2 linked regions of the Anolis sagrei genome follow. The main gene of each other region encodes a partner of the protein of the gene in region 2 in a complex. Links are inferred from orthologs where the notes say so. Each region holds a gene or a part of one and is shown on either strand. Other genes may lie near its edges.

What was found. Proteins that work in one complex are often made in the same cells at the same time.
Region 1: the proteins of GLB1 (region 2) and CTSA are in contact, whole or in part, in a cryo-EM structure (PDB 7KDV), measured with the Mus musculus proteins. The link is inferred for Anolis sagrei from reciprocal best matches to the Homo sapiens genes GLB1 and CTSA. Residues at the interface, in NP_033882.1 of Mus musculus: Tyr198, Asp199, Arg202, His206, Leu229, Thr233, Leu234, Gln235, Asp236, Leu237, Lys258, Phe259, Glu260; in NP_001033581.1 of Mus musculus: Glu29, Asp31, Ala37, Lys38, Gln39, Pro40, Ser41, Phe42, Arg43, Tyr107.

What each region holds. Positions count from the first base shown.
Region 1 is NC_090024.1:248,826,468-248,833,795, forward strand, and holds the start of CTSA (lysosomal protective protein), read right to left. Parts: upstream 3,003-7,328; 5' UTR 2,905-3,002; intron 1,007-2,904; 5' UTR 1,004-1,006; coding exon 831-1,003; intron 1-830. UniProt on the Homo sapiens protein: Protective protein appears to be essential for both the activity of beta-galactosidase and neuraminidase, it associates with these enzymes and exerts a protective function necessary for their stability and activity.
Region 2 is NC_090026.1:75,373,995-75,381,400, forward strand, and holds the start of GLB1 (beta-galactosidase), read left to right. Parts: upstream 1-4,388; 5' UTR 4,389-4,411; coding exon 4,412-4,471; intron 4,472-7,406.

The sequences.
Region 1 (7,328 bases), on a different chromosome or scaffold from region 2:
CCATATAACTACATAACTCCTCTCTACCTGTATTGACATTCATCTAAAGTGGTTGAACGGTTGGTCCTTGGGGTGTTTTGGAGTTCAGCTCCCAGAAGCCCCCATCAGCCTGGCCATCTCTGAGGAGGGCTTGGTGGTCCCTTCCTTTCTCTCCCATTCCCTACTGTAGGTTCACATAGATAGCCTCAGCAAGCGAGAGTCCAAAAGTGGCAGGCTCAAACTCAGAACCTCAACCAATGGCTGATCCCAAAGAAGAGACTCCCCCATGGCACACAGAAGACTGGAAGTGACTTGGAAGGCGCTGAACAGACTGTGCTGTGGCACTACAAGATGCAGAGCCAACCTCAAGCAATGGGGCCACAAAGTGGAATCCTCGACATGTGAGTGTGGAGAAGAGCAACCCACTGACCACCTGCTGCAATGCACCCTGAGCCCCATCACATGATGCACCAGGGAGGACCTCCTTGCGGCAACACCAGAAGCACTCCAAGTGGCCAGACACTGGTCAAAGGACATCTAATCAACTACCAAGCTTGCAAATTTTGTGTTTTGTCTGTCTGTTTGTTTTGTTCTGTTAGAAATGTAATACAATTGTCTGGTTGCTCCTGACACGATAAATAAATAAACATAGATAGCCCTGTCTATGCTGCACTTAACTGTATCTGAGATGCCAAATATGCCTCCAAAGTCTTGGGCAGGTAAGCGGTGGCCAGAGGTGCCTCTCCTCCCCTTCCATGCCATGTCAAAGTCGGAAGAGACCCCCAAAGGCCACCCAATCCTTCCAGTCACAACCCCCCCCCCCACATTGCCTTCCCCTTCCCAGCGCTGACCAGTAGTGGTGGTGCTTGTCCTTGTCCACGTCCAGGTACCCGGAGAAGTGCCGGAAGGAGGGCTGCTTGGCCAGGCCCGGCAGGTAGGTGACCTCGTGCCCTTTTGGAGCCGCCCTGGCCCCAAGGGACAGCAGCAATGCCGCCGGCAGCAGCAGCGCAAACAGGGGACTCATCGCCTGCGAAGGAGAGAAGGAAGGAAGGAAGGAAGGAAGGAAGGAAGGAAGGAAGGGAGGGGACACAGAAAGGGACCACAAGCAGAGGGTGAGCAGAGAGCGTGGCGCTGCAGCACCTCCAAAGGCCCATGGGATCCTAGACTGCACTATTTCCAATTTTAATTATCCATTTGGCCTTCCCACTGTTTTTAATTGTATGTTGTCTTATTGATAATGTCATATCTTTACTGTTTATGTTTTTATTTTAATTACTTGTATTGTTGTGTTTGGGCTTGGCCTCATGTAAGCCGCAACAAACCCCTTGGGGAAATGGTGGTAGCGGGGGTATAAATAAAGTGTTGTTGTTGTTGTTGTTATTATTATTGTTATTATTATTATTATTATTATTATTATTATTAAGTCCAAGCCACGCTCTCTTCTGTTTTGGTCTCCACCTGGAATCATCACTCCCCTGCTGCCCAGACCTGGCCAAAGCCACCCCAGGAGGAATCCTCAAGCTGGACGAGACCTGGTGGGCCATCCAGTCCAGCCCCATTCTGACAAGAAGCAGGGAAACCACCTTCAAAGCACCCCCAACAGATGGCCAACCAGCCTCTGCTTCAAAGCCTCCACAGAAGGGGCCTCCACCACACTTTGGGGCAGAGAGTTCCACTGCTGAACATAGAATCCTAGAGTTGTAAGAGACCTGGTGAGCCATCATCCAGTCCAACCCCATTCTGCCAAGAAGCAGGGAAAACACCTTCAAAGCACCCTCGACAGATGGCCACCCAGCCTCTGCTTCAAAGCCCCAAAGAAGGAGCCTCCACTACACTTCCTCCGGAGCAGAGAGTTCCACTGCTGAACAGCTCTCTCTCCTAGTCAGGAAGTTCTTCCTCAAGTTCTTCCTTTCCTGTCATTTGAGGCCATTCCTCCATGGCATCGTAGTCTCTCTCCAGGGCATCAGAGAGGAATCCTGTTCTCTCCTCCTCTTGATCCCCGGCCTTCATCCTGTCTCCTCTCTGTCTTCTCTCTCTTCTGCAGGCTCAACACGCCCAGCTGCTCTTTGAGCCGCTCCTCATGGGGCTTCCTCTCTAGACCCCCCTGGGTCCTCCTTGGGGTCTCCCTCTCCCTCTGGACACAGCATTCCAGCTGAGGAGGGTCCCCCTCTCCCTTCAGTGTTGGTGCCTGGAATGGGAGACTGACTGGGGGAGGACCGGTCAAGTGGTCTGGCCAAAGCAGGACTTCCTGGGATCCAGATCTGAGGCTCCTCTGGGTGCAGGACAACGTCCCGTGGGCCTTTTTGGCCGAGGCCTCCCCCCTCCCTCCCTCCCATGCGGACCCCAAGGACTCTTTCATGGATTTCATGGAGGTGCCCCCCCCCCAATTCTCTCTCTGCTGGAAGGCAGGGGCCCAGAGGAGGGGCCCAAGGGGTGGGAGGCAGGCAGGGAGCCCACCAGTCTCTGGGGAAGGGGCTGCTCCCAAGGCCAGGGAGCCCAGAAGGGGGGTGGAGTGGGGGTGGGGTGGGCTGGGGGATAACTGGGGGGGCTCCCCCAACTCGGCTTGGGTGGGGGAGGGGAGGGGGCCGCGGTGGGGTCTTCTGGGGACCCTTCCCCATTCAGAGAGAGAGAGATCCCTTCTGCTTCCCCCCTATGCTGAGCCCCCCTCCCCTCCCAGGACCCTCAATGGGGACACCCTCCCCCCACTGCCTTCCAAGGCCAGGGGACCCAGAAGGGGGGGGGGGTGGGCTGGGGAAGGGAGGGAGGGGCTGGGGAAGGGGGCTCTTCTGGGGACCCCCCCCCCAAGAGAGAGAGAGAGAGGGACCCCTCCTGCTTCCCTCTTTCTATGCTGAGCTCCCTCCCAGGACCCCAAACCCAAAGGGGGGGATTCCCTCCCCTCCCCAGGACCCTCAATGGGGAACTCACTCCGTCCTGCTTCTCCCTGGCTCGGCTGCCCTCCGGCTTCTGGGTCTTCCCGGGAGCCTCACGTGACTCTCCCCAAGGGGAGGGAGGGAGGGGGCGGGAGCGCCTCGGTCAGCTGACCACCACAGGGGGCGTGGCCAGAACTGCCTTCCCCCGGATGCGCGCGCACTTTGGAACCCTCAGGGAGGGAGGCAGGGAGGGAGGAAGGTTATTGTTGTTACCTTTCAAGAAGAGTTTGCTCCAGGCACAGCCAGGCCATCCAATGCTAATCAAGGTGCTCAGTTGAGACATTCCTTCCTGGCTCCAGCAGACAAGAGTCCTTTGTCCCACCCTGGTCATTCCACAGATATATAAACCCCTGTTTTCCTACTTCCAACAGACCTAACTCCCTCTGAGGATGCTTGCCATAGATGCAGGAGAAATGTCAGGAGAGAATGCCTCTAGAACATGGCCCTATAGCCCGAAAAAACCTACAAGAACCTAGTGATTCCAGCCATGAAAGCCTTTGACAATATATAAACCCCTTTTCCTAGTTCCAACAGACCTCACTCCCTCTGAGGATGCTTGCCATAGATGCAGGCGAAACGTCAGGAGAAAAATTACCTCCAGAACATGGCCATATAGCCCGGAAAAAAACCACAAGAACTTAGTTGTTGTTGTTGTTATTGTGTAGCCTGGTGGCCTGCTTCCAGTCTCTTCTGAGAGAGGAGGACGAGGCGGAACAGCAACAACAACAACAGCATGCCTGTAAATACATCTCAATAACGAACCTGGTTGTTTCCCTTGGAGAAAACCCACCCCTCCAACTTCCTAAAAACAGAGGGCCAGATCACAAGTCCCTCAAACTCTTGGAGGGCCAGATTATAATTTGAAAAAAGCATGAATGAATTCCTATGCACGCAGCGGCACATCTCTTATTTGGAGTGCTGATGAGACAGGATTGTGGTGGTGGTGGTGGTTGTGAGCTTTCGAGTCATTTCAGACTTAGGTTGACCCTGAGCAAAGGTCAGGTAAATGACCTTGGAGGGCTGTATCTGGCCCTTGGGCCTTAGTTTGAGGACCCCTGATGTAGATTTTCCCAGGTGGTTTGGCCTTCCACTCCCAGAAAGCCTCACAACTGGTCAGCTGGCTGGGATTTCTGGGAGTTGTAGGTCAAAGTTCCTGGGGAGGGAGGGACCCACCAGTTGAGAAAGACTGGTTCCCAACCTGTGCTCCGTGGGCCAGCTGTGGTCCACAAGAACTAAAATATCACAATAGTTGCAACAAGAGCAACTGGTCTGGCCAAACCCTCGTCTGAGAGCCGTTCAGCAGTGGAACTCTCTGCCTTCCCCGGAGGGAGTGTGGTAGAGGCTCCTTCTTTGGAGGCTTTTGAACAGAGGCTGGATGGGTATCTGTCAGGGGTGCTTTGAATGGGATTTTCCTGCTTCTTGGCAGAGTGGGGTTGGGCTGGATGATGGCCCAGGAGGTCTCTTCCAACTCTACGATTCTAGTGCCAAGGCTTATTCAACATGGTTTCCTGTGGGCAAGCAGGTGGCAACTACTGACACCAAACTTGGACACCAGGTACGGTCTTCAAGAACTAAAATACAGTCCTCACCGTTACTACACGGTTGCAGTGAGAGCAACTGGTCTTGCAAACCCCTCTTTTAGTGCCAAGGCGGATTACAGATGGGTTTCTGTGGACGAGCAGATGGCAATTACTGGGCGGCAGATGTTCTCTATCACAAACTAGAGCTGAGGTGGTCCATCTAATGCAATTTTCTGAATTAATACCTCAAATAATGAAACCGAATCGAAAGTTGACCAAAACCCTTTTGGTCCTGATGCTGGAGAGACTGGTCCCGGGTCAAACAAAGGCTGGGAGCCGCTGGTGTTGAAGACGCCCCTGAGCTTGGGATCAGCGCTGCCAAGGGTGTGGATCTCCCTTCTGGCCTCCCGTGGGATGAACGGGGTCATAATTAATTGCCTGATTGCTCTAATTAATGGTGTCTGGGTGATAGGAATCGGGGCAATGGCAATCCTTGCTTGTGTGTGCATCCAAGGCACGTCTCCATGGGTGGCAACCTCATGAAGTCATAGAATCATAGAATGATAGAAGCCTAGAATCCTCGAGTTGGAAGAGAACTCCTGGGCCACCATCCAGTCCAAACCCATTCTGCCAAGAAGCAGGAATATTGCATTCAAAGCACCCCTGACAGATGGCCATCCAGCCTCTGCTTAAAAACCTCCAAAGAAAGAGCTTCCACCACACTCCGGGGCAGAGAGTTCCACTTCTGAACGGCTCTCACAGTCAGGAAGTTCTTCCTCATGTTCAGGTGGAATCTCCTTTCTTCTAGTTTGAAGCCATTGTTCCATTGTGTCCTAGTCTCCAAGGAAGCAGAAAACAAGCGTGCTCCCTCCTCCTCCCTGTGGCTTCCTCTCACATATTTATACATGGCTATCATATCTCCTCTCATCCTTCTTTTCTTCAGGCTAAACATGCGAGCTCCTTAAGCCGCTCCTCATAGGGCTTGTTCTCCAGACCCTTGATCATTTGAGTCACCCTCCTCTGGACACATTCCAGCTTGTCAATATCTCTCTTGAATTGTGGTGCCCAGAATTGGACACAATATTCCAGGTAACGTGGTCTAACCAAGGCAGAATAGAGCATGGGGAGCAGGACTTCCCTAGATCTAGGCACTAGGCTCCTATTGATGCAGGCCAACATCCCATTGGCTTTTTTTGCCGCCACATCACATTGTTGGCTCATGTTCAACTTGTTCAACTCTCAAGCCAGGCCTCATTGTCCCCCATTCTGTCTCTTTGCATTTCGTTTTTTTCTGCCAAAGTGGAGTATTTTGCATTTGTCACTGTTGAACTTCATGTTGTTAGTTTCGGCCCATCATCTCTCTAATCTGTCGAGATCCCTTTGAGTCCTGCTCCTGTCCTCTGGAGTATTGCATTTCCCTCCCAATTTGGTGTCATCTGCAAACTTGATTAACCTGCCTTCTAACCCTTCATCTAAGTCATTAATAAAGATGTTGAACAGGACCGGGCCCAGGACGGAAGAACCCTGTGGTGTCCATAGGGCTTCCCCTCCCCCCTCCACACAATGGAGGCTCTTGCCTGCAGTATTTGAGGAAAGGGGCCCAGGTGGGATTCTACCTGTGTTCCGTCTCCCAGGAGCCTGATTTGCCTCACTTTGAAGTTGCTTGAGGTTGCTTCCTCTTGCATTTTCTCCCAGGGCTGCTGCAGCTTTGCAAGAGTCCTAAAAGTGAATAGTATCAGAGTCTGCAGGACTCTTTGCAACCATTGGCCTAGAGAGCAGCTCTTTGAGTTTAGGGACCGCCTTTTCTCCCAGGGAAAGATCCCCATTTTAGATTCTCCCCTGCCTTTTCAGTTTAGAGGAAAGACTTCAGGACGTGCTGATGGCTAAGCAGTTAGCTCTGGGAAAACCATTGCAAAAAGTACTCTATAGGTAAGTATTAAGCTAAACCAAGTTAGTATAGATAGTATATTGTGTATTGAGGTGTATTGAGATATTATAGATGGATAAGCTTCATTAAGAAGATTGAGTTATATAGTTATAGAGAGTTGTGACTGCTTTGTCTCCAGGACTGACCTTAAGTTACAGATAGGGAAGAAGCCTGTTTTTTTCTAAACCACAACAGCTTAAGGTGAGGGTGTTAAGATTCCAGGATCTTATCTGCCATCTGGAGAAAGGGTTACCTCTGTAACTATAGGAAAGAAAGAATATTTGTGTAGCTTCATCTATTGACTGTTTGCAACTGTGATGAACTGTGCCAAGTCTTCAAGGACTTTGTGTAAATAAATATCCTTTTTTGATGTTTAAAACCAGGGATAGTCTCAATTGCTGAGTATCTCAAGCTTCTCAAGATAGACACCTGCAGTTCGCTCAGACATAGAGAGAAGCACGTTGCAGTTTTACTTTTTGTATCGTCTGGGCGGACGGCACAACCTGTTTGTGTGTCTTTGAGTCACCTGCCAATTTGCCAGGAATCCTCAGGGGATTCAGTTTCTAGGCAAGGCCTGGGCAAACTTCAGCTTAGGTCAGACCTCTTGACCTGGAATGTAAAGAGTGTAGGCGAGTGGGGAGAAGAGCCAACCGCTGACCACCTGCTGCAATGCAACCTGAGCCCTGGCACATGATGGGAGGACCTTCTTATAGGAACACCAGAGGCACTCCAAGGGGCCAGAGACTGGTCAAAGGACATTTCATCAACTACCAAGCTTGCAAATTTTGTGTTTTATCGGTTTGTTATAAATGTAACACAATTGTCTGCTTGATACTGACACGATAAATAAATAAACAAACAAATAGCCCTGTTATTTCTCCAAATTTCTTTATTTCTTTATTATTTTATTTATTTACTTCTCCCCAGATGCTGGAGGCGAGACCTTCCAGAGCCATGAGTGGGGTGCCTGTT
Region 2 (7,406 bases):
CAGGCATCCTCAAGAGATTGTGAGGTACAGTATATTGGAAACAAGGCAAGGGAGGTTTATATATCCGTGAAAGGTCCCGCGTGGGAGAAAGAACTCCTGTCTGTTGGAGGCAAATGTGAATGGTGTAATTAATCACCTGATTAGTATTTGATGGTCAACTCAACCAGAGAAGTCAGCCATAGTAAAACACTTGAACCAACTTGGACACGGCATACTATACTAGAACACAGAAATGCTGGACCATTCTAACAATCCCCATGTCAGACTACACAAAGAAGCCATTGAAATCCACAAGCATGTGGACAATTTCCACAAAAAGGAAGAAACCATGAAAATGAAAAAGAAATCTGTCTACCAGTTTTTTTTAAAAAAACCCATCTAAAACAGGAGAGTAAATAGAGAACACTCAGAAAACAAGGGAATTCCAGACATGAAACAATCAGGGCCAGCTAACACCTCCAAAAAAGGATTCCCCCAGGGTGCAATCTGCCACGACTGGAAGCTGTAAGACCACCAAATGCTAATCAAGATGGTTAATTACAACATTCACACTTGCTTCCAACAGACAAGAGTTCTTTCTCCCACCCGGCACATTCCAGAGATATATAAACATAATTTGCCTAGTTTCCAATATACCTCCCGACCTCTGATGATTCCTGCCTTAGATGTGGGAGAAACGTCAGGAGATAATGTTTCTGGAGCATGGCCACACAGCCCGGAAAACTCATCCCAGTGATTGGCTATTTCTTCCTTACCACGCATGCGCAGGCAGCCTGGGAGAGGCAGAGCTTGAATGCAAAGCAGTAGCTGAGTGTTGAGTTTGAAAGGCCTGAGTGATGGAAAGGGCAGGGAGGTGGGAGGGCCTAAGCCAAAAGAATGGAGACAGATAGGTTGGGCTGCCTGTAGGCTTGTAGGGATTGTTTCTGAGGAGGGCGGGCTTTGGTGACAGTAACCAATAGGAAACATTGTCTTGCATCACGGTGACGGAGCAGCCTGGGATTGAAGAGGGGAAAAGGAAGCTTAGCGTCTGCCTACGGCCATACCACCCTGAACACGCCCGATCTCGTCTGATCTCGGAAGCTAAGCAGGGTCGGGCCTGGTTAGTACTTGGATGGGAGACCGCCTGGGAATACCGGGTGCTGTAGGCATTTTTTTTGGCCTAATTTTCATCCTTTACACTTGCATTACAGCAACACGTCCCAAAAGACTCACATTTTATTTAAAGCAGAACAAAAGAGAAACCCAACTCATGCCAATATCCCATAGAGTACCACAGGGTTCAAACTTTCTGCAGGTTCATGCCAACTCTGGGCAGGCAAAATGATCTTGGCTTTGGTGAAATTTCAAAGAAACGTCTGAGGAATGTGCCTGCAGTAACAAGGGTAGTTTGGAGGGATGTGACTGCAAAACCAAAGTGTCTGGGCTCAAGGGAGAGGTGCCCCTTGGGTCTCCTGTTGGGCTGCTTTGCCTTCCTAGGGTCGCAGCTTGGGAGTGATCCTGGACTCATCGCTGAGCCTGGAACCCCAGGTTTCGGCTGTGGCCAGGGGAGCTTTTGCACAGTTAAAACTTATGTGCCAGCTGCACCAGTATCTTGGGAAGTCTGACTTGGCCACAGTGGTCCACGCTCTGGTTACATCCCGGATAGATTACTGCAATGCACTCTACGTGGAGTTGCCGCTGAAGACTGCCTTGAAGCTCCAACTAGCCCAACGCTTGGCAGCCAGGTTGGGTAAAGGCACAACTCCCCTGTTACACCGGCTCCACTGGCTGCCGATTAACTTCTGAGCACAATTCAAAGTGCTGGTTTTAACCTATAAAACCTACACAGTTCCGACCCAGTTTACCTGTCTGAACGTATCTTCCCCTATAAACCATCAAGGACTTTAAGATCTTCCGGAGAGGCCCTGCTCTATGTCCCACCACCTTTGCAGTCATGCTTGGTGGGGACGAGAGACAGGGCCTTCTCTGCTGTGGCCCCCCGGCTATGGAACTCTCTCCCCAATGAGGTTAGGTCTGTCCCCTCCCTCCTGACCTTCAGCAAGAAACTGAAATCCTGGCTTTGGAATCAGGCATTTGCAGATTCATTGATTGAATCGGTAAATACTAAGAGTTATGATGTCACTCAAAGTGAACAGAGCATCTATATAAATAAAAATGTAATGTTTGTTTGTGGGATTAACATAACTTAAAAACCACTGGACGAATTGCCACCAAATTTGGACAAAAGATACCTACTAACCCAAGGAGTGACCATCACTCAAAAATGGATTTTGTCATTTGGGAGTTGTAGTTGCTGGGATTTATACTTCACCTACAATCAAAGAGCATTCTGAACTCCACCAATGATGGAATTGCACTAACCTTGGCACACAGGACTTCCAAAGCCAACAGAAAACAGTAGAAGGGTTTGGTGGGCATTGACCTTGAGTTTTAGAGTTATAGTTTACCTATACCCAGAGAACACTGTTGACACAAACAATGATTGATCTGGACCAAACTTGGCACTAATACTCCATATGCCCAAATATGAACACAGAAGGAGTTTGGGGAAAATAGACCTTGACATTTGGGAGTTGTAGTTGCTGGGATTTATAGTTCACCAACAATCAGTAATAGAATTGAACCAAACTTTCCACACAGAACCCCCATAACCAACAGAAAATAATGTGTTTTCTGATAGTTTTGGTGACCCCTCTGACACACCTTAAGACCTCTGCAAGGGACCCAACTCCCAGGTTGAGAAATGCTGCCTATAGTCCATCCAGTCCATCTCCCTTCACAAGGGCGAGAAAACATAACCAAAGCCCTCCTGACAAACAGCTATCTAGCCATAGATAGATATAGACAGATAGATATGATTCACACACACATGTATATGACATATGGTATCATAGATTTGAGGAGGGACCCCTAAAGGAGGACAATTATATGTTGCATGTACTAGAGTAGGCAAAACAGACAATCTCCACATCAACACTGACAAAGAAACAACAAGAAATACTGTTTACCCACAACAAGCATAAAGAAATTACATATATGAGAAACCAAATCTATGATACTATATCTGTGTGTGTGTGTGTGAGAATCATATCTATCTATCTATATTTATGACTGGATGGTTCTTTGTCAGGAGGGCTTTGATTACGTTTTCTTGCCCTGGTGAAGAGAGTTGGACTGGATGGCCTTAAGTATTTTCTGTTGGTCATTGGGGTTCTGTGTGGGAAGTTTGCCCAATTTCTGTCGTTTGTGGGTTTCAGAATGCTCTTTAATTGTAGTGAACTATAAATCCCAGTAACTACAAATCCCAAATGTCAAGGTCTATTTCCTCCAAACTCCATCTGTGTTCATATTTGGGCATATGGAATTTTTGTGTCAAGTTTGGTCCAAATCCATCATTGAGTCCACAGTGCTCTCTGGATGTAGGTGAACTACAACTCCCAAACGCAAGGTCAATGCCCACCAAACCCTTCCAGTGTGTTCTGTAGGTCATGGAAGTCCTGTATGCCATGTTTGGTTGAATTCCATCATTGGTGGAGTTCAGAATGCTCTTTGATTGTAGGTGAACTATAAATCCCAGCAACTACAGCTCCCAAATGTCAAGGTCTATTTCCCTTAAACTCCATCTGTATTCATATTTGGGCATACGGAATATTCATGCCAAGTTTGGTCCAGATCCATCATTGTTTGAGTCCACAGTGCTCTCTGGATGTGGGTGAACTATAAGTCCCAAACTCAAGGTCAATGTCCATCAAACCCTTCCAGTTTTTTCTGTTGGTCATGGGAGCCCTGTGTGCTAAGTTTGGCCCAATTCCTTCATTGGTGGAGTTCAGAATGCTCTTTGATTGTAGGTAAACTATAAATCTCAGCAACAACAATTCCCAAAAGACAAAATCAATTTTTTTGAGTGGAGGACATAAATTGGACTGTTGGGTGTCTTGTGTCCAAATTTGGTGTCAATTCCCCCAGTGGTTTTTGAGTTCTGATGGTAGCATGAACTAACATTATATTTTTATTTATATAGATAGAAGGTAGATTTTGTGTTCACTTCCAGTTTACATTGGCCATAGAGTTGTGCTGGAAGATCTAGAATTTCCTAAAGAACTCTTCTCTCGGGTTAAAAATGTAACATTTTCTTCATTTGCAACAAGCCCCAGACTGAGTCTCCTGCCCTCTTCTGTTGAATGTCCCTGCCGGCAGAGACAGCTCATGGAGTGGAGTATCAGGTGGGGAAAGGATAGCCTGTACTTCCTCTTGGCCTCCTCCAAGGAGGGGAGAGGGCGCCCAATGGCGTGGGAGGGAGGCTCCCCTCCTTCCCACTCGGGTCAGCTGACTCCCGAGTCATGCGGCTGAGGCGTGGGCTAGCTCTCCCAAAGAGAAAGCGGCTTCTAGTTTCCTTTCCAGCCGCCTTGAGATGTTCGCCCTCTTCCTGCTCCCTCTCCTTTGCCCGGCTTTGGCATCATCATCATCTTCTGTAAGTCGCTTTGCCGTCCCTCCTTTCTCCCACGACTGAGCCTTATTTCTGTTTGATTCCCTCCCTTTCCAATCCCAGCAAAGAAGGAGATGCCCAGGCTGCATCTCCACCAGTGTTTCTCAACCTTCCTAGTGCTGCCACCCCTTAATCCAGTTCCTCATGTTGGGGTGACCCCCAACCATAACATTACTTTCATTGCTACCTTATCACTGTAATTTGGCTACTGTTCTGTATTGTAATCTACATATCAGACATGCAGAATGTATTTTCATTCACTGGACCAAACTGGGCACTAATAATAATAATAAATAAATAAATAAATAAACTTTATTTCTACCCCACTACCATCTCCCCGATGGGGACTCGGAGTGGCTTACATGGGACCAAATACTCGATACGTGAGGTTCGGGAGATTGATTTTGTCACTTGGGAGTTGTAGTTTCTGGGATTTATAGTTTGTCTATAATCAAAGTGCATTCTGAACTCCACCAATGATGGAATTGAACCAACCTTGGCACACATGACCTACAGAAAATACTGGAAGGGTTCAGTGGGCATTGACCTTGAGTTTGGGAGTTATAGTTCACCAATCTCCAGAGAGCACTGTGGGCTCAAACAGTTACGGATCTGGATCAGATATTGGCACAAATACTCAATATGACCAAATGTGGACAGTGGTGGAATTTGGGGGAAAGTAGAGCTTGACATTTGGGAGTTGTAGTTGCTGGGATTTGTAGTTCACATACAATCACAGAGCATTCTGAATTCCACCAATGATGGAATTGAACCAACCTTGGAATTGAACCAATTCCACCAATGATGGAATTGAACCAACCTCCAGTATTTTCTGTGTATATGACCTACAGAAAATACTGGAAGGGTTCAATGGGCATTGACATTGAGTTTGGGAGTTATAGTTCACCAATCTCCAGAGAGCACTGTGGGCTCAAACAATTATGGATCTGGACCAAATATTGGCACAAATACTCAATATGACCAAATGTGGACAGTGGTGGAATTTGGGGGAAATAGAGCTTGACATTTGGGAGTTGTAGTTGCTGGGATTTATAGTTCGCCTACAATCACAGAGCATTCTGAACCCCACCAATGAGAAAATTGGGCCAAGCTTCCCACGCAGAACCCCCACAAACAACAGAAAAATACTGTGTTTTCTGATGGTCTTTGGCGACCCCTCTGACACCTCCTTGCTCCCCCCAGGTTGAGAAACACTGATCTACACAGTCGAATTGACGCAGTTTGATACTACTAGCAAGTGCAATGGAATCGCACGAATTGCGGCTTTGCAAGGTCTTGTTACCCTCTCTGCCATGAGTGCTGGTGTCTCCTCAAACTCCCCATGGCACCCAGTCATGGCGATCAAAGTGGTGTCAAAGTGCATTAATTCCACCGTGTAGACGTGGCGCGTTATAGGGAAGTAATTAGAGCAGGCAGGGGCCAACTTGGACCCTTCAAGTGTTTTGGACTCCAACTCTCACCATTCCTAACAGCCTCAGGCCCTTCCTTTTCCCCCTCAGCCGCTTAAGCAGCTGAGGGGGAATAGGAAAGGGCCTGAGGCTGTTAGGAATGGTGGGAGTTGGAGTCCAAAACACCTGGAGTGCCCAATTTGGCCCATGCTTGATTTGGAGTCTAAGCTGCTGAGAGACTTTTGAAGAAAGCTTCGTAATGGGAGGTTAGACAACGCCACACACGGCTATCCTTGTTTCTGTGCATCCTCATGTGCCCCAAAAGACACGTGTCATGTGGGAGAATGAGGGTCATGTGGCTGGACACAAAGGGCAGCACCATAGGAGTGTGTTTCCCCTTTTTCCTTCCCCTTCCTGCTTTTTGTTTTGTTTTGCATCTTGGTTTTTAGGAAGTGCTCAAAAGTCAAGTTTGCTTTGCTAATGCTACTTCTATACTGACCATATATAATGCAGTTTGCCTGGCATTGAAGTGCATTATATGGTTCTTTAATGTGTTGTTAAAGGTTTTCATGGCCAGAATCACTGGCTTGCTGTGCGTTTTCCAAGCTGTATGGCCATGTTCCAGAAGCATTCTCTCCTGATGTTTCTCCCACATCTATGGCAGGCATCCTCAATGGTTGTGAGGTCTGTAGGAAATGAGGTAATGAGGTTTATATATCTGTGAAATGTCCAGGGTGGGAGAAAGAACTCTTGTCTATTTGAGGCAAGTGTGAATGTTGCAGTTGGCTAGCTTGATTAGCATTGAATAGCCTTGAAACTTCAACGCCTGGCTGCTTCCTGCCTGGGGGAATCATTTGTTGGGAGGCAGGAAGCAGCCAGGCATTGAAGCTGCAAGGCTATTCAGTTATAATCAAGGTAGCCAATTGCAACATTCACACTTTCCTCAGGCAGACAAGAATTCTTTCTCCCACCCGGAACATTCCACAGATATATAATAAACCCACTTGCCTAGTTTCTAACAGACCCGACAACTTTTGAGAATGCCTGCCATAGATGTGGGAGAAACGTCAGGAGAGAATGCTTCTGGAACATGGTCATATAGCCTGGAAAACTCACATTAACCAATTCCATTTAATATCATAAAATGATAGAATCAGAGTTGGAAGAGACCTCAATGGTCATCCAGTCTAACCCCCTGCCAAGAAGCAGGAAAATTGCATTCAAAGCACCCCTGACAGATGGCCCTCCAGCCTCTGTTTAATAGCTTCCAAAGAAGGAGTCTCAACCACACTCCGGGGCAGAGAGTTCCACTGCTGTACGGCTCTCACAATCAGGAAGTTCTTCCTAATGTTCAGATAGAATCTCCTTTTTTGTAGTTTGAAGCCATTGTTCTGTGTCCTAGTCTCCAGGGAAGCAGAAAACAAGTTTTCTCCTTCCTCCCTATGACTTCCTCTCACATATTTATACATGGCTGTCATGCCTCCTCTCAGCCTTCTCTTCTTCAGGCTAAA